Linked DNA regions of Ovis aries. The protein of the gene in region 3 interacts with the protein of the main gene of each other region in a pairwise test. Links are inferred from orthologs where the notes say so. Each region holds a gene or a part of one and is shown on either strand. Other genes may lie near its edges.

Region 1 (3,955 bases), on a different chromosome or scaffold from region 3:
TTTGTGATTTATGGGTTGAATGGAGAGAAAATTATGGGAACAAGGAATTAACCCCAAATTTTACAGTAATTTCATTACAGAATTACAGACCACCACCTAGGGAGGGTTTGCAATTTAAAATAGCACTGTGAGAGTGTATCTACGGAGTACATTTTATTCACTTAAGCCAACATACACCTTGCTATTAAGCACGCAGCTGGTGTACAAAGCTGGTTCCAAAGATAAATTCATAAATAGAAAAGCAATGTTTACGTTTTCCAATAAGCAAGATGTTCTAAAACGAAATTCTAAGACAATTCTAGCAAAACAGTAAGTGACAAGAGAAATTAGGGTGTTCCATCAAATAACTTAAATGTATAAACATGATCTTCAAAATTTTAAGGCATTAACTATTTCTACCCAGTGCAAACACTAAATACAGTTGCACTTTAAAAGTATGATTACTATCTTTTTGCTGATCCACTGCTGCTGCTTCTTTGATTATATCTACTTGGAAATTTCATAAACATTCAAGTTCTGTACCCCTGGCCCAAAATTAGTTGAGTTACTAAGGTAAAATCTCAAAAAAAAAGGACGGGGGGGGAGGGGCAATTAGAAAAGATCTAACTACTTTCACTCTTAGAAATGCAACTTAAAAAGAAATTCATGAAGTATATTTACAAAAAGTGTATGTGTATTCATCCATTCAAGCCTTTTCTGAGCATCATGTTCTCAGCACCCTGAGGATGAAGAGGCAAATCAGAGCTCATGTAATGCTTTCTGTTGAGGAAGTGCCATGGCAGAAAAATGTAATATTTACTGGGATGCATCTGGATAGATAAGTGACTTATTCTTGGGGAGAAAAGGGAGTGAGATAAGGAGAACTGTGCAAAAAAGTTTTCAAGAGCATAGGCTGAGTATTTTTAAGAGGAAAACTCTCAGTACATAAAACCTTGGAAATGAGGGAAATTCCTAGGAAATACACACACACTCACTAAGGAACTAAATTAAAATCAGAAAGAGAAGCTAGGACGGAGAAAACAAAATGGACAGAAACTGCTCCACGGGAATGATTTAAGTATCCTGCAAAGTTAAGAAAAATGAGAAGGTTTCAGTTATAAGACCTCAGTTAACTACCAAGTTGTTCGCTAGATTTGTGACATTAGTTAAATCACCTCTATTCTGGGTAACTTTTCATCCAGAAAAACATATGTATAATGGCAATCACCTTACACTTGAAAAAAAAAAAAAAAACTAAGAATATTAGCAATCAAATCTGAGCAGAAGTTCTATTTTTACCTACAGATTAAGAAGAGAAATTCTCCAAGACATGTTGAAGTATTTATCTTGTTTGTGATTAAGAATGCTCTCAATACAATTAACAGAAATTTGGAAGCCCAGATGCCTTTATTAAAACTAGTAATTGACATTCATTTACTGGGCTGATTCAAGCTGAATCTTTTTTGATGCCTTGGTCAGTGCACCAGTTTTATTTTTTGAGGCGATTACATGTGCTTTCCAAATACGTAACTTAATACCATTCACCTCCAATGCTGGGAGGACCCGAAGAGATTAAAAACAGAAGCCTTCGTTAATACTGAATTAACCCGAGGACCCCATGAGCTACCGGAGTACAGAAAAATGTAAATGCTCAGAACACGGTAGGCATGCACCTTTATAGAACCAAACGGAGGGGGAAAACTTCACAATGTCAAGATCACTTCACCTTATTCTTAAGGGAACAACACATGCCTTTCTCTCAGTGAACGGTCCTGGCTTTCTTAGCTGAATTTCTTCAGTAACGCACTAAAAAATCAACAAATCGAGTCTATGAATTACAGAGAAGAGCTTGGTTGTCTGTAACCTTCATACTGCTCGTTCTTTTCACCGCACACTCCCAAGTTACTATTACAACGTAGTAAGAGCGCACCGGGTATTCAAGTCGCATGAACAGCAAGCTGTCGGCCTCCCAACAAATATGTTAAAGAAAAACTTTGGCATACGACTTTAAAAGACTCCAAATAAGTAAGGCGTCAGACTCAGCCCTTCTATCAGGGCAAATCGTGCGGTGCCATTTTTTTTTAAATTTTTTGCCTCAAACCCCATAAAAAGACGCTGCTCAAGTTACAAGGTCTCTGATGCCCAGACCCTTCAAACTTTCTGGACAGAAAGATGCTGGCACCCCAAGACGCCAGTGGCGACGACGGACACCCGTCTTCACGCCCTCACAACTTCTCGCCGGACCTCGGGGTCCCCCTCCCCGCGGGCCGGACAACCACCCGCGCGGCCCTCCCTGCGGCCCGCGAGCCCTCCGGCGGGCGGCCGCGGCCCCTTAGGGAGCGGGGAGCCGCCCGGGAGCGCCCCGTTTCTCACAGACCCCAACATGGCGTCGGCCGCCGCCGCCGCCGCCGCCGCCGCCCGAGACGACGACACCTCCCCGCGCCGCCGACGGCCCGGGGACCGCGGCGGGGAAGCGCAGGGAAAGTTTCGCTTCTCTTCTCCCGGCCCTCCGGGGGGCCGCCCGACGACCAAGCCCGGGGTTCACCTACCCAGCCGGGCGCGGACGGCCGCAGCGGCGAAGGTCCGACTTCTCCTCTTCCCGGGCGCCGCGCGCGGACTCTCCTTGCCTCCCGCCCCAGCTTCGCAGGGTGTGCAGCCAGCGGCCCCGCGCAGCCGGCGCGATCCGGACGCGGCGGGCGGGCGGGCGGGCGTCGCAGACGCTCGCAGGTGACCCTCCCGCCCCTCCAGTCGAAGCCCACAACGGCCGCCGGGGCTGGCCTCTCCCCTGCGCGCGCGCGCAGAAGCGCGCCGCCACCCACACGCCGGGCGCGGGCGCGGGCGCGATCACACCCCCAGCGCTCGCTCCCCACCCTTTCTGGCCTGCTCTCTCGCCCCGCCCGGGCCGTCCCGCGCGCCGGGCCCGAGGGGGCGGGGCCAACGCGGAGGCCACACCCGCCTGGGAGGCTGGGGCTCGGGATTGGCTCCTCTGCTCGGAGTTGAGGGCGCGCGCCCTGACGTGGATTGGCTACACGTGCGACGTCTTTTACCTGGGCTGCCTGGCGCAGGCGAGCCCTCTGAAAGGACAGTTCACCTCCTAGGGAAGTGCTTAACGACGCTATAAAAATGGAAGGAGGGCTGGGCCCCTTTCCTCTCACCCCGAACGGGCCTCTGCGGGGAATTCAGGAACTTTCCGCGACCGGGAAATGAAAGCTTTGGATTTAGCTGCCCAAGGCGTCCGGCTAGACGTGTTTGCTACATCCTCTTAGCGCGCCCGATCCTGCCCCCTCACGTGTTCCACTTGCTTGCCCTAAAAATCCTACCGCTTGAAACACAGGAAACGACGGCGGCAAAACATACCCCGCATACTCCGCACAGCCTTTTAAGTGATGCGTTTATTCCCTGACTTAGAATTCTGGTCTTTCCCCAAATTTTCTGTGATACCACAAACGTACTTCACACACCTGGAAACAGTGATGATGGTATATAAGGTTGAACGTGCCCCTTCATTTATACCGCAGCAAAGTGTGCTGGTGGGTCCGTGGAGACGTAAAAGATGCCTAAGGTAGATAAGGACTGTGGGCCTGGTGAGGGGTGAGGAAGACTGCATATTCACTTCAAACAAAAAGTGAATAGGCAGAAATTAGATTTGAGTAAATTTTATCTTTCCCGCTGATCTATTACAAGATTTTGAAAAAATACCTCTTTTTCTTTTATATGTTTTCTTCATTTTTTTTGTTTTTTCTTTTCTTTGAAATAGTAACTTTTTTTTTTACCTTTGATTGTAGCCATCAGAACCCACGCCACATGAAAGAGCACCCACCTAGGGAACATAAAGCAGGTCTTGTTTCCAACCAACTTTCTTTTGGTCTGGGATTTGTCCTCCCCAGATCTTCCACCTGCCATCCTGTTCTGTTTGAATATGTCAGAAACAAAATTTTTTTAAAAAAATTGGTGGCTAAAACAAACCTGGCAAGGA
Region 2 (3,984 bases), on a different chromosome or scaffold from region 3:
CTTCAGAGATCAACTTCCCACCCAAACCCACTGTGGCAGAGACTGCAAACTACCCTTTTCTGGTACAGTCTCCTCAGTTTCCACTAGGTCAAGGGTCCTTCCTTTGCATTTCAGGTGTAATCATATGAGGAGGCTGCGGCCAAGAGATGCACGCAGTTTACACAAACAGCTTCAACAGCGTACTTCACAAGGACGCTGCTGGCCCTCCATCCTCTCCCTGCCCACAGCTGGAGGTGAGCCAGTGCTCGTACTCAGGCGAGAATACATCTTAGAAGGAATGTGGGCTCCTGGGTCACTTCATGGGGTAGAAGTGCCCACCCCTCTTCAGGATTCAGCCGCCTCTGGACTAATGCATTAAAGGGATACGCTTCCTTCTTATTTCAGTCACTTTATCTTGGGGTCTCTTTGTTACAGAAGCTTTGCCTGTACCCTTATGTGCAGAGGTCCCTTGAAGCTAGCCATTCACAAATTCACAACATTACAACATGATTTACTTACATTTTCAAGCTGACCCCTTATAAATGCTAAGTTCGCCATCTGAAAGCAGATTATAAGTTGTTTTTCAGTTTAAAGCATTGTTTCCACTTACTTCAAAATCTTTACACTGAAAACTCCCCTTTGCTTTCACCTTCTATCTAAAAAAACAGTCCAGAAACTGTTGCTAATCTGCTAGAAGCAAAGTTCAGCAATGGGGTGAGAGTACGTGCATAGACTTTGATGATAACAATTCTAGATCCACTCTTCACTGAGAACACAAATATTAATGTTAACTGTTTCTTTTCGGTCTGGGGTTGAGGTTTCTTACAGGTGACAGTTCAAGGGTAATAAAAATGGAAAGCTAAAGAAAACTTAGTAAAAACAAAACCCAGAGAGACATCCTGCAGGTCAGGAATACTAATCAGGAACACTAACAGCCCTTCTCCTGCACCACTGGCGGCGGCTCAGACTGGTCAGAGGAGTTACCAAGTCATAAGTGTAAGCAATGGCCTTCGTGTTGTGACTCTTGTGGGCAAGATGAAGAGCATCATGCAAAATCAGCTCTGCCTCTTCTGGCTCATCTTTCATGATGCATAACTGAAAAGAGAAAACAAAATAAAAGAAACTGAAACACGAAAAGAACAGAGACATGCACCGCCAGACAGAAGCGAGTATGGGCTACGTGTCCCAGTACACAGAGGGAAGCTAGTCATTCATTCCTCAAACACTTATTGAATCCCTGCTCTGCAAAGGCATGGTGTCTGCAGTGGGGACTGGAGAGGGGCTCCCCTGCAGCTCCGCATGGCCACAGATATAGCACACTGGCTGACATAGGCAGCAGGATTGTGAGCACTTTTCACGAGCTCTTATAGCGGAGCTGCTGGCCCTACATCCTCCTCCACTCTTCCTGCAGGACAGGTGGGGCTCAATCACAACCAATGATACAGGCGAAGAAAGGCAAGAGAAAGGAACAAGGGGTTTCCTTCAAATGGAGTCAAGAGAAGCCGCCCAAGGAAGCGACAGTTAAATTGAGGTAAAAAGAAAAACAGCCAACTAAGGAAGGAACTATGGGGGAAACTGACCCAAACAGACAGCAGGGAAGGAGCGAAGGTGCTACAGACTGAAGATAACGGACTTTCAAGAACCACTCAAACAATGAAAGTCAACAGATGTCAACTGATGGTGACTGTTACTGCCAAGTAGGGAGGCAATGGGGTGGGACCATAGGTCTCACCAGCCAGGGCAAGGAGTCTGGGTTCTACCACAAACGCTGTGACGGGTCAATCAAGGCTTGTGGGCACGGAATGACACCAGCTGATTTACATTTAAATGATCCAGTTGCTGTCAAGCCTGGATGGCAGGGGGCAACAGGGCAGACAAGACTGCAGGCTGTGGCAGCGTGGCCAGGGCGACAGGAGGAGACACCGAAGAGGCGACAGGTTCGAGATTTTGGATTTGGTGGCAAAATACAAAAATTCGTTGCTGGATTCTTGGTATATGGGAGGTGGTAGGTAGGTACCACACAAGTTCTCAGAATGGGGCAGACTACAGAAAAGAAGAGGTACTGAGGGAAGGGGTCGGAGGGGTGCCTAAGACCACAGGTTCGTTTGGGTCAGCTGAAGCCTCAAATAGAGTTGGCATGCGGGCCGCACCTGCCGTGTGCGGGCACTCGGGTGGACGCGGTGGGCATGAGGCGGCGGTCAGCGCAAAGGAGGAGACCCGGCACCCCGGGAAGAGGGGAAAACGTTCAGGAAGAAGAGGCCCGCCTCGCTCCCCTCAGCCTGTGCGCACTTCTCCCCGCGCTCGCAACCTCGCAACCGGCAGCGCCGCCTCCACCTGCGCCCAACGCACGGACCCCACGACTCCGTCCACCCGGGTCCCCGTAGTCGAGGGACGTGCTGCAGCCCCTCACCTTGGCTCGCTTCAGCAGCTGGATGATCTCGGCTTCGGCGTCCCCGGCTGCAGCCCCGCCCGCGCCCCGTCGCTCCTGCTCCGCCGCCGCGGGCCTCGAGGACCAGGCGAGCGCTGCAGGAAGGGGCACTGAGGTCACCGTGCTCAGCCCAACCAGCCCGGCCCGCCCGGCCCGCCGGCCTGCACCCCTCACCTGCCAGCAGCGGCAGTAGGCCCGAGCCTCGGCCGCGCGGCGCCCCTCGGCACGGCGGCGCCCGAACTCCCGGCGGCCCGGGCAGCAGGCACACCGGGTAGCAGCGGCCCCGCCGTTCCGCCACCCGCAACAGACCTCGGGCCAGGCCCACAGCCAGACGCCGGTACATGGCCCCCAGAGCGTCCTCTGCGCACTGCGGCCACGGGCTCCGGAAGTCCCGCCCCTGGCGCCGAACGCCCGCCGATTGGCCGGACCGCCCGCATGCGCCGGGACGCAAGTCTACGTCACCTCGCCTTCCTCCCCTGCCCCGGAGAACGCGGGACCGCCATGGCGGCTCCGACTGGGCCTCTCACGTTACCAGCTGTGGTGGAGGAGCTGCTGAGCGAGATGGCGGCGGCTGTGCGGGACGGCGCGCCGAGTATGGGCGGGGGCGCGGGAAGCAGCGCCGGCGGGACGGGGTTCGGGGGTCCGGGCCCACTGGGGAGGTCTCCGCCCTCTTAACTCGCCTGTAGCCCTTCCTTCCCGCGGTCTGTGTTTGTTCCAAAAGGTTCCCCTCCTGACCTCTGTGCACGAGTGACTGTTTCAGGGCCCCAGATGCAGGACTTGAGGGGTCTGGACGCTGTGGCTGTGCCTTTATTCCTCTGACCAGCAGAGGACGCTCTGTGACCAGACTCCCCTGGCCGCAAGCGCACGGGGCCAGAGCGCGTCCCCGTTAGAGCTGGCGCCACCGCCGCCATCTGAATGACCATCCAAAACATCGGTTAGGCTTCAGTGAACCTTGCTGGTTCACTTGGGCGGCGTTTGTTTGCAAAGGACCGCACTTTGAAAAGGATTTACCTTGACTTGTTTTTTAAAGAATTGAGAGGAGGAAGCCAACTTTTCTCATTTCAGTTAAATCTAAAGCAGTACATGTGCTTAAAAGATGAGGCGAGCCAGGTATTCGAACATCCTCTAATCCCAAAAAGCTTGGGGGAGAAACCAGTCTGTTGACAGCTCAAACAGTGGTTGCCAGAAAGGGTTGTGTGTGAAGAGCACAGTGTGAGAGTCTTGAAGGGGGCGCCCCTGAGGCTTGGGGCTCATAGAGACTACTATCACCGATTCACGTTTTTCAGAGCCATTTTCTTCTAGTTAAAAATCTTTGTTCTTAGACAGTCATACACTCTTCCTGAGCCCCCTCCTTCGACGATAATTTTCTTTAGATCAGTATTCTGAGTTTACACTTATATGATGTAAAATATAGTCACAGCTGAGCCATGTAGTAAGTGATGACTACTTCTTTACTGTAACTTTTTGCTTCCTCTCAAAACTGTCATGATTGCATTTGTTTGGTTGTTTACTTTTCTATATGTTTATCCCTAATTCAATAACTTCCTTTTAGCTCAGATGGTAAGGAATCTGCCAGC
Region 3 (3,500 bases):
CAATCTATGGGACACACTAGCCAACCACTGTTTTTGTGAATTAAATTCTACTGGAATATTAGCCATGTTCATTCATTTATACATTGCCTATGGCTGCTTTCATTACAAGAACAGAGTTAAGCTCTTATAAATGAGACCATATACTCCAGAAAGCCTACAAGATTTTCTATTGCCCTTTATGGAAAAAGTTTGCTGATCCCTGGTTTAGCCCAGTGACAGCAGTTCCTACTCAGAGCTACTTTTCTGATCTTAACGCACTTCTGATAAAAGATTTTTACTGTGGTTAATATAACAATGTTTTTTTTATGTTCTGTAATATTATGCAAACCTTAGTAAGTCATTTTTATTCTCTCAAAGCCATGACATTTTAGGCTAGTTTTTCTTTATCTACTAGTTTTTCAGTAGTAATAGAAGCATCCTTCTGCAAATCAATGCATGAAAGCCTAACAATTGTTGACGGAAAACAGCGTCTGTCTGTAGGTCTGTATTTGTATGTGTGTTGTGTGCCCATGCATGTGGCCCTAGGGAAGGTGTGCATATATGATGATAGTTACCCTCCAAGGTCCCCCTCCACATATGAAAAACAATGTTTGAAAACTTATCCCAAGTCACATTTCCTAGACAGACAGTAGAAACGGCAATACTAATCCCAGACCAGCATTCCAGCTCCTTTGCCCTTATGCACAATGCCTTCTAGAAGGGTGGGTACCTCCTTGAACAGCTTTGCCGGCACGGCCACAGCTTTCTCCTCTTCCAGGTAGGACGCCCAGCACCAAGCTTTCTTTCCTTTAGGAGGCAAACCTGAAAGGCAAGTGAGACTAAACTGACCGAATTTCCCAATCTAGGAAATCAGAGCAGGATACTTACTGTGAACTCTTACTTTCTAACTACCCCCAGGCCTGGCTCTTCTCTTACTTCCATGATGGATATTTCTCAATTTCTTTCCCTGACTCCTCTTCTGAAGAAATGAGAGCTAAAAAGTAAACTATGTGTATATCCAGGAATGAGTGTAGAAGAAAGGAACAGGAGAACTTAAAGTACTTTTAAAAACTTAAAGTACTTAAAGTAAAGTACTAAAGTAAATAAAGGAGACGCAGTAGGAAGCCAAGATAGACCAGAATCATGGAAGCTCAGCAAGTGAAAGTGTCTAGGAGCAGGATGCTCCAAAGTTTTTTCCTAATGAATCAAGAAGCTGAGAACTGAGAAAAGGTCAGTGCACAGAGTAACTTAGGGACTGGCTGCTAACTTGGAGAAAGGGGGGTAAAAAAAAAATCAATGCATCCAAGGCCAAATTTTAAGTTGCAAAAGAACACATAAATGATAAAGATACGGAGTCTATAGCAATTTTATTTGGGGTTAATTTAACAAAAAATGAAGAAAGGATATATAATGTTAGGCTTGATGTGTTTTAAAATTGAGGGAAAGATATTTGGAGATGAGCTTAGAACAGGCAATAATAAAGCACATGAAGAGGAAGAAAATGGAAGAGCTGAGAGAGGGAAATGACTGAAGCAACAAGGCCACTGAAGGGCCAGAGCCCCGAGGGTAGCAGCAATGAAGGGGAAGGGACAGAAAGGACAAAGAGGCAAAGTGCAGAGCAACTGAGACTTTGCTCCCTTTAATGTCAGTGATGGAATACAGAAGGCCATCCGAATGCAGAAGTTAGGCTGTGTGTTTGATGCAAGTAGAAACACCTCAAAGTGTTTTTAAGAGACGAACAAGGGAGGGATGTGGTTAAGCCCTGAAGAGAAGCGCTGAGTTCAGGCCCTGATTCACAGGGACAATGTGATTGGCAGGTCAGGATGGGACTGTGCAAAGTACAGTGACCTAACATGGAAGACCAGCCGTGTAGATGTGGCAGGTCCTTCGACACAGCCTAGCGGGGCACACAGAAGCTTCTGGGGAGACAACCCAAGGTGCAGGATGAATAAGGCAGCAAGTTAGCCCACCAAGTACTGAAGGGCAGAGCCTAAGCTCTAGATTCCTCAGAGAATAAAGTGTTCCTCGAGAAATAAAGAAAGGAAAAAAGGGTACCCTGTCAGGAAGTTATGGTTGAGAGAAAACATTTAAAAAAAATCTAAAATTTTATGAAATGAGTAAGACCAGAGGTTTTAGTCAAAGTGCAGAAGTAAAAGAAACCTACCTGGTGGAAAAATAAATAACAGAAAATGATCTCAAGTTTTCCCTGACACTGCTTGAAACTTGCTAATTTCCACTTTCCCTTCGCCTTTTTCTACTTCTTCTAAACTCCAACTTTTATTGACACAATTTAATCAAAGAAAATCCCCAAACGATCCTTTAACGGCCATAGTGTGCATTACAATTAAGACTAAAATGTCTGCCTGTGTGAAATATTTTCAACTTCAGAAAATTACAAGTAAAACCTTCCTTGCATCAACTCACCCTGCTTTAATACAGCTGAATCACCTCGTCTTTTCCTTCGGGCTCTCTGTGAACCCCTCAGAATTCTCCCATCTTGTTTGTTTTCCTACAATAAGGCAGAAAAGTTTACGATTTTTAAAAGTTCATGAAATTGGCATCAATGAAAAGTTAGAGAGCTGTCAGAAAGCCTTTTTTTGCACTGTTCTTCAGTTTCACTTCATAACTTTGAAAGAAAGTAAGAATATAGGTCACTTGAGAACTCTGTTGCTCTTGGCCTGAGGTCCTTACAAAATAAGAATATTTCCAAGAATTACACTCTGTTATAGCACAGATACTGTTCCCACCTCTTTGAAAAGCTTTCTTCTTTCAGCTCCTTGACCTCTCTGGTCTGGGTCCCCTGGTACCTCACCGCCCCTCTTTCTTGGTCCCTTTGCTGACATCTCCTGCCATCTAATCCCCTTCTCTTCTTTATCCAATCACTCTCCTTAGGTTTGAAAGATCATCTGTCTGCTAAATATCCCCTATTTATATCTCGAGCTCTGACTCCATACTCATGTATCCAGATGCCTACCTGGGATTTTCGCTTGGACATCTAATGAGCATCTCAAATGCATGACGGCCAAAGTACTGTAAGTTCTATACTCCACTCTGGCCTTCCCATTCTCAAGAAGTGGTATGATTCCAGTCAACAGTTCAAGCCAAAAAGCTCGGAGCTATCTCTCATTCTTCTTGCTCCCTCATATACCCTGCCAACTGTCTCAAAACCACTGCCCTCTATCTTAAACAGCCCTCTTATTTAGTCTACTACAATAAACTTCCAGCTGGTTTCCCTGATTCTACTCTGTTCTCACATGTCAAAGCTGGAGTGATCATTTTAAAACATCATATCAAAGTATTCCCCTTGCCCTCTACTTTCCAATGGCTTCCCAGCACACTCAGAGTAAAGTGACAACTCATGACTCTGGTTTACCATAAAGCCCTGGACTGCAGAGAACTCTTCAGTCTCATTTTACTCCACTCTTCTCTAGCCTTCAAGGCTCAGCAACCTTGTCTTATTTCCTAAAACAAAGCGTGCTTACACATGTTTTTACATTATGGTCTTTTCCCCAAACAATTCC
Region 4 (4,230 bases), on a different chromosome or scaffold from region 3:
TGAAGGGCCAGTGTCTGGGAGCAAAGAAGTAAACAGGCCAGCTCTTTCTTGCATGTTTTTGAAGTGGGGCAGGCTCCAGGGCTGGCCTTCCTGAACACCAGGGATCCCACCATCTGAATTAGGCCAACGGCTCTCTCAGTGAGTAAGCCATGCTCCAGGTGTCACTGGGTGGCCAGGGTTCTATGCCCGACAGTTGAGGTGTCACACGTGACCTACACCAGAGGCAGCAAATCTACACCAGGTCCGAACCACTGCCAGCTTTTCTAAAAACAATTTATTGGAACATAGCCATATGCAACAGTGATTGGCCTGCAAAGCCTAGAGTATTTACCATTTGGCCCTTCACAGAAAAAGTGTGCAGAGCCCTGATCTATACCCCCCCACACAGTGTCAAATGCATAATGTGCCTGCTCCAGGGACACACCTGACATGGGGCCATGTCTTGATGGAGCTAGTCTCCTCCACTTGGACACAGCCTTTGAGATTCAAAGAGCTGTCTGGGGCCCCAACCTGGGAACCCTGTATAGTAGGACCTGGGTGGGGCACTCAGGTCCACCCTCCCATTAAGAGTTACAGTTGGGGACATTGCTTATCGGAGAGGATGTTACCTGGCCAAGGTCACAGAGGGAGTCAGGGTGTTGGCCCTTTGGACTACCCCTTGGCTTCCCCTTAGGACAGGGCTGATTTACCACCTGACCTTCATTCCCTCCAGTCCCAACCTGGCCCACATTGTCTTCATGCCTACCTGATTTTACCTTCTAAATATTTACTAAAGTCCTACTGTGTGCCTGGCACAGTTCTACTAGGCAGGACTAGGCACCAGGTTACAGCCGGGAGCTAGGGACCAGACCTTTCAGTATCACACAGCCTGGTGCAACAGCCAGACTAGAAAGTATCAATAAATCAACACGGTGATTTCTGACTGTGAATGCCACAAAGAAAAGGGCTGATGTGCTGAGCAAGGCTAGGGTGAGGGTGGTAGTCAGGAAAGGCCTGGTGAGGAAGTGACCCTGCACCAGCCTGAATGTGAAGGATTTTAGCCATGCAAAGGCCTGAGGGGGAAAAAGTTCTGGGCTGAGGGAACAGCTCAAAGACCTGACTATGGAGACAGGAGGAGTAACAGGTAAGGTTAAAGGTGCTGTAGGAGCCAGTCTTGCAGGTCCGCAGGCCAAGATGAGGATCTGAGTTTCTCTCCAAGCACAATCCAACTGTCCTTTCCTTCCAGAGGGGCCACCCCTCAGGCTTGTCCAGTTCTGTGCTTCCTGGAAAGCCCTCCTCCATGAAAAGAATAGTAATAAGGAAAATAAACCAGGGGTGCCATTAACTGAGAGCTTACAGCTTACAGGCACAACGGTAAGCACATTGCAAGTATTATCATGCCGACTCTTCACAAAAGCCCCATGGGGGAAGGTGCCACCTCCATCATCCAAAGTCACTGCCCAACGTCCCAGCTCCAAGACAACCATGAGCTGCTGAAGACAGAATCCGAAATCCTCAGATTCAGAGGGCAGGGCTCCTCTCCAAATGCCTGATCTCCAACCCTCAACCCTCTCCACCCAGGTCAAGGGGTGGCCTGGGCATGTCCATTAGCTTGGCTGAGCTGCCCAGTCCCTTCCTTTCTTGTAGCGGGCTGGGCTGCGCAAGTCCCTTAGCTCAGCTGGGCTGCCTCAGTTGCCCATCCTGGCAGCCCTGGGGGCTGATGTCTGCAGGGACACAGACTGAAGTCAGAGACAACCCCAGTGGAAACTGCAGGCCCAGGAACATGCCAGCATTGAGTGGAAATTCGCCAGCAATCATCCTCCCCTCTTCCCTGGCTTCTGACCTCCCTGGTGGTGAGATAACAATGCTGTTCAAATTCCAAACGAACATATCCCTGATCAAGTTACAAAGTGACTCAGGGAATCCACTTTCCTATCTGAAAAAGTGGCTGGATGACAACTCTCCCCTGCACAGCCCTTCAGGTGTTCAGGGAGAGAGAAAGGGAAGGAGATTCCGGGTGATTCCAGGCTGGGAACTGCCACCTCTTTCTGGGTCAGCCTCACTACTTCCTCTGTGAAATTGGAGATTAAGCCTGGCCTTGTTTCCTTTGACAACTGCCACCAAAAGTCACAAACTCAGAGGCTTTAAGGGCCAGCGAGCACCCAGGCAACCCGGAAAGCGCTACCACCCTGCCTCTCCTCCCCGCTTCCCTGGGCCAAACTATCCCTGCCCACTGCTCCACACCCTGCAGACTGGGACCAAGAGTGGCGGCCCCCACGATGGCGTGAGTCAGGAATCCCCGAACCCTCCCCAGACAGCAGGAGCGCTGAGATCCTTGCTGTCCCGGGCTTCAACGTCCACAGGCGTCTCCAGACCGTTCTGCTCTCACTTCGTGCATCCCCCCCGGGCACCCTGCCTGGACTTCGGAGACCCCCATACCTGTTTTCACCCCGCTGTCCTTGGAGCTCCTAGCAGCCCCCCGCCCCTCCTCCAGCCCCACCAGCCAGCAATAAGCGCCTTGGTCCGTGCCTTTGCTCAGGGCCAGAGTCCGAGATGGCACCGGCCTCGCGACCGCCCCGCCCGAGTCCAGGGGCCACCTAGACTAGGAGCCCGGGGTAGCTGGGAGGCAGTCGGCAGGGAGCCCGCCTGCTCCGGGCGCCCCGGCCTGGCTGGTGACCCTTACCTCCTCAGCCGGGGGCCCTCGCGTCTCGCGCCCCACCAGGCAGCCGGCCAGACAGACCGCACTCGGCTGCCGCGTTCCGCTTGCGGAGGGGGCCAACCCCCGCCGCCCAAGCCGCCGCGTTCCAACTCTCCTGGACACGCCCCCCTACCCCGGCGGCTCCGCCTATCGGGGCCTGGGCGCGAGGCGGGGGCGGAGCCTGGACGCCAACTCTCGGAGTCGGAGTTCCAGAGAAATGTGAGCTTCCCGAGCGGAGTGCGTTTGGGTGTGTTGGCGCTGCAGGCGGTGCGGGCGGGGGGCTTCCTTGTCGCTCTCTCCCGGGACTGGCAACCCAGACTCAAGCCCCCCAGTCTCCCTTTCCGCCACCGCGCTCCGCACGCCGGACCCACAGAAGACTTCGAACTCACCCAACTGGGGCCTTCGGGCCAGGGAAGGGGTTGGGGAGGGAGGCGGTGGCATTACTGTGCCTTCCGCCGCCGCTGGTGGGACTCCCTGCTGCTGGCTGGCATAGTCCTGTCTCAGCAATCGAGAGATTGATAATCATAATATTAAAATTCTTTAGCATTTTATGTTTTATATTTTAAACTTGTATAGTGGAAACTTTCAAACATATGCTGAAGGAAATAGGCTAATGGACTCCATGTATCCATCGCCTAACTCCAACATTATCTACCAGTTTTGCCCTCTTTCTCCACCCTCCCCCACCCACTCCGCAACACTGAGCTGAAATGCAAGTCCAAGCCTCAGAGTCATCACTCCTGGGGGGTTGTCTTAACCTCCTTCTGGCCTCCCTCAACACTTCGTTTCACACCAGCTGCTTCTTCCTGTTCCTCAAAACCCCAAGGTTGTTCTCACCTCTGGGCCTTTGCACTTCCTTTTTGCCGCCAGATCTTCTCATGGCTGCATTTTTGGCATTGAGATCCAACTCAAACTGTCACCTCCTCAGAGGCTTCCCTGACCTCTGAGGTCACCCTCATCTGCCTCACTCCCGTTTTGTTATTTTGTAAACCACATCTCCCAACCTGAAGTCATCCAATTAGGTCGCTTGTTTACATGTTCATAGCTTGTCTGCCCCACCTAGACTGTGAGCCCTGTGGCTGAGCTCTACCCATCTTGTTCATTCCTTTCTCCAGTGCTGAGAGCGGAGTTCAGCCTTTAGTAAATGTCTGTGGCACGGATGAGTTTGCCTTGCCAAATAGGGCAGAGCGGGGTAACTGTGAAGAGGGGCTGGCGCAGGCCAGGGCAGTGCCCGCTGGGCCAGGACCAACGCAGGAGGAAGCTCCAGGTGCCTGGGTCCAGACCTCAGACTCTGCCCAGGGCTGGGGCCTGGAGGGCTGGTGCTGGAGGCATGAGCTGATAGGGGGTTGACCTGCTCTCCTGGGTGGTGTGGGCAGAGGCTGTGAGGTGGGGCCCAGTGCTGGGGATCTGCCTTTGCCAGCCGGAGTGGAGTGGGGCCAGGACATGGGCACATTCCCACAGGGGAAGGGGTTGGAGTGAGGGGACGAGAGAGCAGGGAGAGGCTAAGAGAAAGAGGGGAAGTGGAGGTGATTGATGGGGAAGTAAGAGGGCCA
Region 5 (4,017 bases), on a different chromosome or scaffold from region 3:
GGGTTCCAAGAGAAACCATACCAGAGAAGAAAAATTGGAGGCTCAGAGAGGTCAAGGCAGTGACAGGGTCACACAGCAAGTACCTAACAATGCAGTCACCTGAAGGTTTAGGAGAGGGAGAGATGAACAGGTGGATAGGAGGGGCCTGGGAGAGGGTGGTAGCCTCAGGCCAGGAGCTTTGGAGAGAGAAAGGGCCCCTTTACCCACCGAGAAGGAGCTGAGCTTCACGCCCACTGCCCGGTGCTTCCGGCCCAGGCCGGCCAGGTACTCCTCCAGGGAGGACAGGTCCTCCACATTGGTCACTGCAGCATCGATCACCAGCATCACCTGCCAAGATCAAGGTCGCAGTGAAATGGAGATCAGAGCAACTCCCTGCCCCTGCTCACAACCAGTCCAGAACCGGGGGGTCCCAACCAGAAGGAAGGGAAGACCCTTGCTTATCTGGGATCAGAGACAAAAGGCAGCCTGTGTCTGCCTACTGGGGGTGCTCACATTATGGTAGCCAGACTACTAACGTTAGGCCATGAAGGAAGCTGCCTTCTGCTGAGGGGCTCAAAGCCCTAGACACACCTGTTGAACAGTATTATCCTCCTGGGATGGCCTCCTGAGACCCTGCAAGAGCCACCAGCCTCTAAGGAAACCCCAGCTTGGTTTTACAGGGGGATGGTCCCTGATGGATCAGCACAAACACCACCTACAGGAGCCAAGGGATGAGGCCGAGGGCAAAGGGCAGAGCTGGGAGCAGCTGGCCGACCGGGTGCCCCAACTCTGCCCAGTTCAGCACAGAGGGAAAGTAGCAAATGCCTCCGACAGGAGGGAGCAGAAGGGGCACAGCCCAGGGCTGGGGAAGGACGCCAAAGGAATTCTCCCACCCTGGGTTCTCCCTCTCCTGTTCTCCCCCAGGAAGGCCCTCCACCTCTCCTCACCTTCCTGATGTGGTCCAGGAACTCGGGGGAAGACAGGCAGTCCTCTGGGCTGGAGAACTGGCGGCAGTTGTACTGGAAGAGGGGCAGCAGGTCTGGCTCCAGGTCAAACAGCCTGCATGGGGAGTCCCGGTGTCAGCCCTGGAGGGGGTCGCCCCTCCAGGCTCCACGGGCCCTGGCTGCCCTGCAGCAGAGGAAGGTGCGCAGAGCCTGGGCTGTAAACTCCAGCTCACCCTCAGCCTGGCACACACCGCTTGGCCAGCTTTGCCGCTGGCCCCTCTTACCTCTTCTGCATCGTGGAAAACATGTGTTCCCCAGGCCTCATAGGGAAGCCCCTCCCATAAACCGTGGAGGAGTGTGGGCTGGGACAGGCAGGGGTCCTCAGACAGGAAACCCGGAGTCTGTGGTGGGGACTCCCCTCCTGCCGTCTGTCTCCTTCTCCTCCCCTCCCTCCCATTCTTGGATCAGAACCCCCCAGTCCCATCCTGGCCAAAGGCGCTTGGCCCAGCAACAATAATAATTAGTATTCAGAAGTCCTAACACTTTCTGAGCATTGAGTACCTTGCACGTGGTTTACTCAGGTATCCCCTCACAATCCTAAACAGTGGGTGTAACTGTTATCCAGTTTTATAGACGAGGAAACAGAAGCCCTGGGAGGTTGAGTCATGTGTCTCAGATCACACAGCTTGGGAGCAGCATGGCCAGAGGGCGCCAGAGAAAAGACTGGGTTTGGGGAAAGCTGAGAGGCCCAAGTATAAGCTCTCATCCTTATCTGGGAGGCCTGAGACTGGAAATTTAGTCCCTTTTTGTTTGCGAGGGGGAGGCTTTACAAAAACCTCTTCAGAAGTTCTGGGCTGGCTTAAAGGAGCCAAGGCTCCTGAAAAACCATGGTGAGGGGGCATGTCTTCTTGGTGAGGGCAGAGGGGCTACCTAGACACCCTCAAGCTGATCTTGAAGGCAGCCTCCCCTCCCCTCTGGGGTCTGCACACTTCTTCGCCCCTCTCTCTCTGGTGGTGAGAATTGGGCATCTGTCCTCCCTTCCCTGGAGGATCTCAGGTCCTAGCCTGTCATTTCCTCGGAAAGCTTTATCCTGAAGTTGACTGCTGGAAGCGCACACTTCCGGGGCCCAGACCCCGTGCCCTGCGGACCAGGCGCCCAGTACAGCCTTCCCACGCAGGCCCTTGGGACACCCCGGTATCTCTCCATAGGGGCAGCGGTGGGCACCCCTGCAGTCATCACCCAAGGAAAGAAAACTCAGGAGGCACACGGCCGGGGAGGGGGCGCAGCGCAGGGCCCGGAGTATAGGGAGACGGGCGGCGGGAGAGGACCCTGGCCGGCGCCCAGAGAGCCTCGCTGGGAGCGGAGTGTGTGCGCTCGCCCAGACGCGCCGCGGCCGCCGCGGGAAGAGCCGCAGGGGCTGCGCCACTGGTCGCCGCGCCCCGCTTCTCCGGCGCCAGCTCGGCCGCCTCCGACTCATTCCTGGAGAGCCACCCCGCTCCCCGCACCCCCGGGTACGCTCTGGCCGCCCTCACCTGGCGAACAGGACGGTGCCATGCTCCAGCGGGCTGCGGCTCACCGCCCGCCAGCTCTGCCGGATCAGCTCGGGCTCCGGGCGCTCCATGCTCGCCCCGGGGACGCGGGGCACAGGGCTGGGACCCTCGGGGCGCGGGCACCGTCACCGCACGTGCCGCGCCATCTCCGCGGAGACGCGGCCACTCGGCACCTCCTACGGCCCCCGCGCCTCGGCCGGGGCGCCGCGGGGATGGGGAGAGCGCGGATGGTCCAGCCACCGCTCCTTCCCCGCCCAGGTGGAGGCGCCCCCGCCGGCCCGGCGCTTCCAGGGAACCCCCGCTCCCGGCCGCTATGCCTTGCGCCCCGCCCTCGCCGCCCGCCTGGGGCTTTTTAAAGCCGCCGCGGCCCCCGCCCCTCTCCGTCCGGGTAGACACGCATCTCCGGGCGACCGACTCTGGCCGCGGACTTGGCGGCTTGGGAAAGGACAGGGCTTCAGAGCTTCACGGAAATCGCCGAGCCTCTGGGGAACTCGGTTTCTCATCCGGTGACAATTTTACCACTTACTAGTTAGGGCAAGGAGAAGGAAATGGCAACCCACTCCAGTATTCTTGCCTAGAGAATCCCAGGGACGGGGGAGCCTGGTGGGCTGCCGTCTATGCGGTCGCACAGAGTTGGACACAACTGAAGCGACTTAGCAGCAGCAGCAGCAGCAGTTAGGGCAGGGAGCTGGAGCTGCTCGCCTCTCCGCTACCCCACGCAAACGCTGCCTGGAGGCATCCGACCCCTGGCACCATGTCTCCTTCCTGCTGCCCCGAGGGGAGGGTGGAAGAAGGCCAGGGTGCCTGCCTGTGTGACAAGGCGCAGCTGGGGGAGGGCCGTGAAGGGTAGGGCAGGGTCTGCCCTAGCTCTGGTTACTGACTGAAGCACCCTGGCACACTCAGGGGCCACCAGGGTGCTCAGCTTTAGGGACAGGGCCAAGACCACCGCCGTGTCCAGCCAGGCCTGCGTTTTCTTGAGGCTCCTTAGAAATCTGTCAGCTCTGGTTCTAACCCCAGCTGTGCTTGGCCGGGGGTGGGGTCTCAGGTGCAGCAATGGTGAGCAACTCCACTGCGTGGACAATTGAGGGGGTGCCGGGAGCCAGCGTGAGGAACTCCGCCCATGGCAAAGGTCATGAGGAAGGAGGCTTTGGCATATGCAAAGGCGGGATTGAGCCTCAGGAAACCCCCTGTTCCCGAGCATCTACCCCCGAAACCAGAGTCTGCCTACTTTACTGTTTTATGCTCTCACCTACACCTCTGACTTTACAGGGGGCTCTCCCCATCACCATTTCTCTCGGAGAAGGAGTTAACTTGCAGCTCCAGTTAAACAAAAATTCCTGGGCATGACAAGAGTGTTTCAACTTACAAACTCCTCTGAAGGTTCTCTAGCCTGCCTGAGCGGGTTCGTCCATCCACATGTGATTGTTTACAGCCTCCCAACTGTGAGAGGCACGAGATGCTTTAAAACTTTCTAAATACAGACTCTTTTGAGAAGTTAGAAAATTATTAGTATAGTGTAGTGGGTTGATTAGAAATTATATTGG
Region 6 (4,088 bases), on a different chromosome or scaffold from region 3:
TTTTAGGATATCTTAAATATGCTTGAAAAAAAGTTGTGTTTAAAAATAAGCGTGCTTTTGTTTGTAGTCCCTTAAAGAATTACAGTGGACCCTTGAACAACACTGGAGTTAGAGGCACTGGACCCCAGGAAGTTGAAAACTTGTGTATAACCTTATATTCCTCCCGCAGTATTCATGGTTTCACATTTTAGGATTCAACCAACCTTGACTGTATAATACTGTAGTATTTATTTAGAGGAAAAAAATTATCTGTTGTAAAAGTAGATCTCTGCAGTTCAGACTCATGGTGTTCAAGGGTCCACTGTAAATGAGTAACTTTAGACTGCTGCACTTATATAATTTTTATTAAGCAACTGTACTAATCCTAACTTTGGATGGGAGAGCACTAACTTTGGAGAGGTGTTCATACAGTGTTAGGAAATCTCCCCAGTTAGCTGCTCACTGGGAAGGAGTCTTCCAGGAAAAGGATTTCTCATAAATCCAAGTACCTTCTGTTGGTTTATATTTTAGGTCAGTTCAAGGATATATACAAAAAGAGATTTAAGTTGTCCTGTGACAATGGACCAAATGATCTATCTGATGGGTATTTTAGCCAATATTCAGGTTACACAATAATTTTTTTAAAAACAACAATTTTTAATGCAATTTGAAAAGGAACAGTATACATTATATAACTTGGAAAGTGTACATGCCTAGATGGTGAAGACTTGAGTGCGTAACATCAAAACACAATAGTCCTTAGTAATGTCACAGCATTAATCCAGTTCCTGAATCTTCATATATTCACTCTAAATATATTCTCTCCACTTACCACTTTATGAGGTCTTGCAAACCTAAGCCAGGAAGGACTTCACAGCCCTCACAGGACTTGAAAGAATTTTACAAACCTGAGGTCTTTATATAAACATACACCCTATCTGTAAGGCCATGCCTGACAATCTTACTGAAAACTGTGAACTGCACAAAACTCCGATTCACTTGTCTTCACAGCACTAAAAATACTACACACACACACACACACACACACACACAAATATATACAGTGATTACTGTCTTCCCCTACTTGAATATAAGCACCACAAAAGGAAAGATTTTAATGATTTTGTTCCTAGGGTGTCCCCATTACCTAGAACAGTGCCTGGCACACTGTAGGCACTCAGTAAGTGTTTACTGAACAAAAGAAAGGGTATCAGATGTGTGCAAGTAAATAAAAGCTGATCCCTACCATATGAATGAACGAGTCTCTTCTATCCACTTACAGCCTGGATTCAAGGTTAAAATAGGATTTTTGGACGAAGTGGAAGAGTAGTATTGATCTCTACACTACCATGTGTAAAACAGCTAGCTAGTGGGAAGCTAAGGTATGGCACAGAGAACGGCTGAGCGTTCTGTGATGACCTAGCAGAGTGGGAGGGAGGCTCAAGAAGGAGGGAATACATGTATACTTACAGCTGATTCACAATGTCATAGAGAAGAAACTAACACAAAATTGTAATTTACTATAATTTTTAAAACTTAAAATTTTTTCATTATGATTTTTTAAGGAAATAGAGGCCTCAATAAAATCCTCAAGCTGCCTACCCAACATTTTCTCAGCAAAATGAAAAAAGAAAAAAGCAACAACCAAAAGAAGTATTTTTAATAAGTTGGTTCTAGTTCTGGAGAGAGGACAAGTTAATTAATCTCACATGACTCTTAAGAAAAACAGGAAAGTTCAATACTTAACTAGTAACCAGTAAAAAAAAAAAAAAAAAAAAATCAAAGCAGCCTGTTTTTCTACACCCAAAATGGGATCCCATCACTTAGGAACACAGAGCTCAGCAGAGTACGTCTTAGCAATTCTGGCCTCAGCCCTACATCCTCAAGATCCAACTCCAAAGTCCCTTTTTCCTTTCCCTCCATCCTGGAAGCCTTCCTAGAACCATTTTACACACACAAGCAACCTTCAGACCTCCCAGTTCTAAGCCCTGACCCAACCCAGGTACATCCCAGCGTTTCCCAAGGCCAGCAGAAAGACCCACCCACCTCGCGCCCCGGGGATCCCCCGTAAACTACCAGCCCTACTAATCCAGAGTCAGGGAGCACGAAAGAATCCAGACAGCAGGACTTCCCAGCCTGGCCAAAATTGGAGGACATTTTAGACCTTTATCCCAGTTCTGCCAATTTCAGTGTGACCTTGAACACGTCCCTGCTAGGGGGTCCCCGTTTTCTCACGTTACAGGCGAAGATAACACCTGCAGCTGCTGTAAGGATTACAGGAGATCACACGTGAAGCACCTAACGGGACACCTGGCACGAAATGGGAACTCCACCATCAGGACCGTGGGTCATTCCTCAGGGTCCTTGCAGCCTCCCAGCTGAAAGGCATCTCGCCCAACAACCCAATCTCCGGGTTTCAGAGGGGGGCACTAAGGTCGGGCAGTAGAAGCGTGCTGGACGCCAGTCCCAGGACCTCGCGACGCCCCCGCCCGAGCCCCCTCGCCGGGACGCCGCCGTTGCCGCGGGGCGAAGCGGTACCCACTGCCTTCCCTCGGTCCCCAGGTTCCGCGCGGCCCGGGCGCGGCCGCTCCACCTGCCGCCAGGCCCCGCCACCCGCTGCCCGCTCGCGGCCCGGCACACCCGGACTCCGGGGCTCGGCCTCCCGCGAGGCGCGGCGTACTCAACTCTTCACTTTGCCGAAGGTGCCGACGCCCAGCGTGTCGCCCAGCACGTAGTGGCCGATCTTCACCCGCCCGTCGTGCTTCTGCTTCTCAGCCATGTTCGGCGCGCGCAGCCTCGCTCCGCCGCCGCGGGATCCTCTGCGCGGCCACCGCCGCCGCCTACCCACAGTGCAGCGGGCCCGCGGGGGGCGGGGGCCCGAGACTTGGGGACCAGGCGAGACGGGGCGGGGCGGGGCGGGGCGGGGGGAGGGGGGACGCGAGCAGGTGGGGGGCAGGGGCGGGGGCGCGCCGAGGCCCCTGGGCGGGCGTGAGGCCGGCGTGGGCCCGGGGCCAGGGCCCTGGGGGCGCAGTGGAGGGAGCGTGGGCGCTCGGTGCGGGGGAGGTCGGAGGCCGACAGGTGTGCGCGGAGCGGGGAGGGGGAAGGATGTCGCCTCGCTACCTGGAGGAGGGGCCCTGGGGTGGGAGCCGGGTTAAGGGGCCCTCTAGCAGAACCTGACGGTGCGAATGAGAGGGTGAGATTTGGGCCGAATCTTGGCGAGTGGAAAGCAATGGAAGTATTAATAGAACCTGGGGAAGAGAAACAGGCCTGAAGTGTGGGGAGAGAGGGGCGTGAAAAGCAGTGTGTGGGTCCGAGGGAAGTCAGGGCTGGCGGCAGTGGGGAAGGGCCTTGATCGAAGGTCAGTCGGAGGAGAGTCACAAGGAAGCTTTTGGAGTCACGCACTGTTTTCATACAGGTCACCAGGGCACAAACAAAAAAAGCCAACTCTGCTGGCTTCACTGATTCTCCTCTACGTTCTGTCTAATTCTCAGTTATGGAGGAGATACCCTCTCTAGAGCTCTCCGTTCTAACTAATTTGCACAAAGTTCACCAATCAGTCCCAATATTTGCTCAACTGTATTTTAGACATATAAATATATGGGCTTTCTAGGAGGCTCAGTGGTAAAGAATCCGCCTAGGAGACAAGGGTTTGATCCCTGGGTTGAGAAGATCCCAGGGAAAAGGAAATGGCAATCCACTCCGATAGTGTTGCCTGGGAATTCCCATAGACAGAGAAGCCTGGCGGGCTGCAGTCCATGGGGTCGCAAAAGAGTTAGACACAACTAATCAAGTATATATAGCAAAGAAATTGTGATAGAGCTGCACAAGAGGGAAATAGTGGAAGAAACTGAAGCGGGAAACTGAACGTAGTGAGCTTGGGGAGTAAGCTACCTAAGGGACAAGGGCAATGTAAGGGCACAAATTAAAGGTAAAGATTGAAGGGGGAGTGAGGAAACGGCAAGAGGAAACTAGAAGCAGGCAGAGCCTTAAAAACTGCCAAGATACAGTAAGTACAGTGATTACTCCTCCCGCCCTCCCTTCTCCTCTCCTTTCTTCTTTCCTTCCTTCAGTCTCCTAGTTTCCAGTGTTGCCTGTCAGTGCTTAAAAAT
Region 7 (4,023 bases), on a different chromosome or scaffold from region 3:
TGATGGTAGTCTAGAAGGTCAAACAAGGGGACAGCAAAGGACATAAAGATATGAGATGAACGTTTTGTTTTCCACCAATGCATTTTAACATACACAAAGGACACCAAAGCTGATAAAATACGTACAAGATTTTTCCCCCTTTCTTGTGGCTACATTTTCAAATTTACCTTATTGTACATTTATCATGATTTCCGATAATTTGTTTTTGCTTTTTTCTAAGTTTTATTAAGGATAATTTCAAATGGATAAAAATGTAGGGGAATAATATAAACCTTTGCGAATCTATCATCCAGCTTCAACAATTACCAACTGAAGGCCATCTTGTTTTATCTGTAACCCCACCCACTGCTCGCCGCCCCCCCCCCCACTCTTGTTTTTCTCAAGAGCACTGAATAGCTGACTTTCTGTATTTTATTATGGAAAAATTCAAACATATACCAAGGAAGCTAGAACAATACAAGGAATCCCATAAGCTCATCACTCAGCTTAAACGATTCATTTAGTGCCAATTTTGTTTTATCTATGCCCCTCGCCACCTCCCCTTACCGCTGAGCTAATTCTGAAGCAAATCCTAGACATCAAGGTATTTTGAAGCCAGTCTGAATGCTTTTATTGTTTAATTCGTATTTTCGTATATTTCTGTAAGCTACAGGCAATTTGAAAACATAACCACAGTATCATTACAACGTCTAAAAACATCGTCATTAATTCCTTAAAAAAAATCAAATGTCGAATCCGTCTTTAAAATTTCCTGATGCACCTTTAAGTATTTTTTTATAGTTGATTTCCCCGAATCAGGATTCAAACAAGGCCTACTCATCGCATGTGGTTCATCTCCAGCTAGCTCTCATTCCTCATTCTCCGTTTCTCCCCACCCCCGCTTTTTTTTTTAACTTTTCAATACGGAAAATTCCAATCCCCGCTATTTTGAGGTAATTGTCAAATAAATTATTTCATTGGTAAAGACTGATACGTCTCTTTTGTATCTCGAATTTCTTTTACGGAAGGAGGTGATAGGAAAAGCACTGTAAGGAACGACTTTACATAATTTTACGTTTTTTCTCACTCTATTACGCGGGTTTTTCTCTCCACAGTAATAGCTAACGTCTTCCGGAGCCACGGTGCGTATTAAGTTATTATACGTATTACATTACCTAGCAGTCGTATATTATACGCTCTAATATACAGCACACGCCTCTGAGGCACAAGTCTCTGAGACAGATACTATTATTATCACCATTTTACAAACATGGAAACCGAGACACAGAAAGAACAGCCAGCCCAAGCTGGGCGTTGGCGAGTAGGAATTCGAATCTAGTTCTGCCCGATAGTAAAGCCATTAATTAATCTTGTCTGTATACGCGACGATAAGAGGAAATCGTCAACCCTTTCTCCCCACCCCCACCCCGAAACCTGAAACGAGGATCCAGTTCTTTCCGACAGACGACGACGTGTGATCACTGCCGACTCTCCAACCGCCATAGTAAAGCCAGGTTTCTCTGGCAACTGATATCCATAGGCAGACACGTCACCCTGGAGGCGGGCTTATGCCCTACAGCCAATCACAATCGTCTCATCTAAGTTTTAGAATGTTCTATAACCAAATGATTGGATGAAGCTCACCACGTCAGCAATGACACTCCGCCGCAGTAAAGGCGGGTGCTAGCAACCTGCTTCTTCACCGTTAAGGCTTGAAGGAAACCAATTACCTTTCTCCTTTAGTGAGGGCTCTGACCAATGACGTTCGCCCTCTTAGGTTTTCAGCCCGCCCTCCAAAAGCGCGACAGCGGTTGGGTCATAAGTCTATAGGGCAGAGTGTTCACGTGGCCCACTTTCACGACCCAGAGTTCCCCTGCCCAGAGGTTTCTTTCTTTTTTTTTTTTTTCCTGCAGGGAGGCATTGTGGGTTCCCCCCCAACTGGGAAAGGAAGTGTCTACGTGGCCTGCGGAAACAGGATGGGCGGAAATGAGCTAAGGTCCCCGCGAGTGGGGAAGCGCTAGGTCAAATCTGCGGCCACGCCCCCGAACCTCTTGCGCAACTCCCGGAGGAAAAAAAAAAAATAAAGGTTGACTGGGGGTTTTGATGTGTGTGCGAGTTGGGGGTGGGGGGTACTGCGGGCGCGCGGTGTCAGGGCTCCTGTGCGCAAGCGAGCCCGCGTGGCCTTGGCGTTGGCGTGTGCGCGAACGCCAGGCCTCGTGGCGCTGGAGGTGGCTGGTGTGCGCAGGCGTGCGCCCCTAGCGTCGGGGCTGGTGTGTGTTCTGGGGCGGGTGCGTGCGCGTGTGTGCGCGCGTGAGCGCGCGCGTTCTATGCGGATCATTTTTCTACTTATGTTTGAAAATTATTCTTATAAAACGGAAATTTAAGCAATTAAGTTATGGCGACCATCACTGAGATAAAGGATTTTCGCTAGAAATACTTCGGTCTCCCCTATCGATTTGATTTTAAACCCTAAAAATACACTTTCTTCCCACGTCTATCTCCGAATCAAAAATCCCGTTCTAAGCCGTAGCCCAGCAGCGGTTAACAACCAAATCCCCCATTCGCTTACTAGCAGTTCCAAAAAGCAGCTTTGCTGTTCCCTAATAGCCGTCTTCCCCCAACCCCCGCTCCTTCCCCCGTCCATCCCCCACCCCCAAGTTGCGTCCAGTTCTGCCACAATATTTTGCTGAGAATATCTGTACACGACAGACTTCCCCTCCACTAGGGACTCCGAATTTCTGTGGGAGCTGAGGCTCTCTTACCTGCTTGTTCTGATTTCCAGGCAGAGTGCTCTTAACGCAAGTATGCACTCTAATTTTCCAGAAAGTTCTCCGTGTGAGGTTTATACCTTTTGAGTTTGCCACTAGATGCCGCCAAATTCCAGCAAAGGATTGGCTGTTTGGTCCCTGGAATTATGGGATTCCCCCATCTTTTTTTTTTTTTTTTTCTGATTTGCTGAGCTTTCCAATCTATAAAGATCATATATATCTTTCATTTCTCGAGAAAAATCAAATTAACTTATTAATAGCCCTACCAGGTAGGGCTCTATTCAAATGTTTACCTCCTTTCTTTACTTCTTTCCTCCTTAAAAAAAAAATTCCCCCTCCCATCTCTTTCTTCTTGCCTTTTTTGGGGGTGCTGCTGCTGCTGCTAAGTCGCTTCAGTCGTGTCTGACTCTGTGCGACCCCATAGACGGCAGCCCACCAGGCTCCCCCCGTCCCTGGGATTCTCCAGGCAAGCACACTGGAGTGGGTTGCATTTCCTTCTCCAATGCATGAAAGTGAAAAGTGAAAGTGAAGTCGCTCAGTCGTGTCTGACTCTTCGCGACCCCATGGACTGCAGCCCACCAGGCTCCTCCGTCCATGGGATTTTTGATGAATGACCCCCAAGCACTGACGCCGATGAAGATACGAAGATTCTAACCCTTTCTGTGGGGTTAGGATCTTTTCAAATGCTGCCACCTGCCCCGCTTTACCACCTCACCCTGACCCCTGCTCTGCTGCAGGGAAAACACAGGTGGTTTTCTGGTCAGTACAGACATTTGTCTTCACTGGGCTTGGACCCTGGGATTGAAAACTGATCTTTCACTTTTGAAATTATGATCGGATATTTGTGTTTTCACCCTGTCTTCTGCAGTAGTACTGTGAAACTTTATTATGTTTTTGGAGTTTAGAGGCCTAATTAGAGGCCTAATTTTGAGCCCGATTCCACCACTTACTAGTTCTGAGAACCTGGGATTTATGTTCTGTGATCCTGTTTTTTTGCATGCTTTCTATATTTTAGATGTGTCATATCACATGATATTCTTTAATTCTTCACAAAATCCTTGTTAGAGGCATACTAATAAAATCAAACAACACAAGTTATACTTATTTCAGTTATAGATTCCATACGTTTGTGTGTGTGTGCATATGTGTTTCTGGGCACACACGTGCACCCTTTGGGGAGGGGTGGGATTTAGAGCAGAGGTTCTCAAAGTGTTTTCCAGACACACCAATAGCACCACCTGGTGGGGAATTGTCAGAAATTTAGATTCTCACCTCC

The links.
Region 1: the proteins of L3MBTL3 (region 3) and PLEKHF2 interact in binary tests that used the Homo sapiens proteins (3 or more experiments, as listed by UniProt). The two-hybrid records come from large-scale screens. The link is inferred for Ovis aries from reciprocal best matches to the Homo sapiens genes L3MBTL3 and PLEKHF2.
Region 2: the proteins of L3MBTL3 (region 3) and TTC19 interact in binary tests that used the Homo sapiens proteins (3 or more experiments, as listed by UniProt). The two-hybrid records come from large-scale screens. The link is inferred for Ovis aries from reciprocal best matches to the Homo sapiens genes L3MBTL3 and TTC19.
Region 4: the proteins of L3MBTL3 (region 3) and PLEKHF1 interact in binary tests that used the Homo sapiens proteins (3 or more experiments, as listed by UniProt). The two-hybrid records come from large-scale screens. The link is inferred for Ovis aries from reciprocal best matches to the Homo sapiens genes L3MBTL3 and PLEKHF1.
Region 5: the proteins of L3MBTL3 (region 3) and NGB interact in binary tests that used the Homo sapiens proteins (3 or more experiments, as listed by UniProt). The two-hybrid records come from large-scale screens. The link is inferred for Ovis aries from reciprocal best matches to the Homo sapiens genes L3MBTL3 and NGB.
Region 6: the proteins of L3MBTL3 (region 3) and PRKAA2 interact in binary tests that used the Homo sapiens proteins (3 or more experiments, as listed by UniProt). The two-hybrid records come from large-scale screens. The link is inferred for Ovis aries from reciprocal best matches to the Homo sapiens genes L3MBTL3 and PRKAA2.
Region 7: the proteins of L3MBTL3 (region 3) and MORF4L2 interact in binary tests that used the Homo sapiens proteins (3 or more experiments, as listed by UniProt). The two-hybrid records come from large-scale screens. The link is inferred for Ovis aries from reciprocal best matches to the Homo sapiens genes L3MBTL3 and MORF4L2.

Annotation. Positions count from the first base shown.
Region 1 is NC_056062.1:82,115,588-82,119,542, forward strand, and holds the start of PLEKHF2 (pleckstrin homology domain-containing family F member 2), read right to left. Parts: upstream 2,801-3,955; 5' UTR 2,529-2,800; intron 1-2,528. UniProt on the Homo sapiens protein: May play a role in early endosome fusion upstream of RAB5, hence regulating receptor trafficking and fluid-phase transport. Enhances cellular sensitivity to TNF-induced apoptosis.
Region 2 is NC_056064.1:33,235,627-33,239,610, forward strand, and holds the start of TTC19 (tetratricopeptide repeat protein 19, mitochondrial), read right to left. Parts: upstream 2,801-3,984; 5' UTR 2,751-2,800; coding exon 2,582-2,750; intron 2,503-2,581; coding exon 2,390-2,502; intron 1,075-2,389; coding exon 964-1,074; intron 538-963; coding exon 499-537; intron 1-498. Other genes in the region: ZSWIM7 (zinc finger SWIM domain-containing protein 7), read left to right, coding at 2,909-2,999. UniProt on the Homo sapiens protein: Required for the preservation of the structural and functional integrity of mitochondrial respiratory complex III by allowing the physiological turnover of the Rieske protein UQCRFS1.
Region 3 is NC_056061.1:55,685,155-55,688,654, reverse strand, and holds part of L3MBTL3 (lethal(3)malignant brain tumor-like protein 3), read right to left. Parts: intron 2,489-3,500; coding exon 2,404-2,488; intron 802-2,403; coding exon 710-801; intron 1-709. UniProt on the Homo sapiens protein: Is a negative regulator of Notch target genes expression, required for RBPJ-mediated transcriptional repression. It recruits KDM1A to Notch-responsive elements and promotes KDM1A-mediated H3K4me demethylation.
Region 4 is NC_056067.1:39,781,579-39,785,808, reverse strand, and holds the start of PLEKHF1 (pleckstrin homology domain-containing family F member 1), read right to left. Parts: upstream 2,801-4,230; 5' UTR 2,663-2,800; exon of another isoform or gene 1-2,662. UniProt on the Homo sapiens protein: May induce apoptosis through the lysosomal-mitochondrial pathway. Translocates to the lysosome initiating the permeabilization of lysosomal membrane (LMP) and resulting in the release of CTSD and CTSL to the cytoplasm.
Region 5 is NC_056060.1:86,628,937-86,632,953, forward strand, and holds the start of NGB (neuroglobin), read right to left. Parts: upstream 2,801-4,017; 5' UTR 2,545-2,800; coding exon 2,456-2,544; intron 1,039-2,455; coding exon 927-1,038; intron 328-926; coding exon 208-327; intron 1-207. UniProt on the Homo sapiens protein: Monomeric globin with a bis-histidyl six-coordinate heme-iron atom through which it can bind dioxygen, carbon monoxide and nitric oxide.
Region 6 is NC_056054.1:31,181,423-31,185,510, reverse strand, and holds the start of PRKAA2 (5'-AMP-activated protein kinase catalytic subunit alpha-2), read right to left. Parts: upstream 2,801-4,088; 5' UTR 2,759-2,800; coding exon 2,665-2,758; intron 1-2,664. UniProt on the Homo sapiens protein: Catalytic subunit of AMP-activated protein kinase (AMPK), an energy sensor protein kinase that plays a key role in regulating cellular energy metabolism.
Region 7 is NC_056080.1:129,270,832-129,274,854, forward strand, and holds the start of MORF4L2 (mortality factor 4-like protein 2), read right to left. Parts: upstream 2,801-4,023; 5' UTR 2,742-2,800; intron 1,486-2,741; exon of another isoform or gene 1,414-1,485; intron 11-1,413; 5' UTR 1-10. UniProt on the Homo sapiens protein: Component of the NuA4 histone acetyltransferase complex which is involved in transcriptional activation of select genes principally by acetylation of nucleosomal histone H4 and H2A.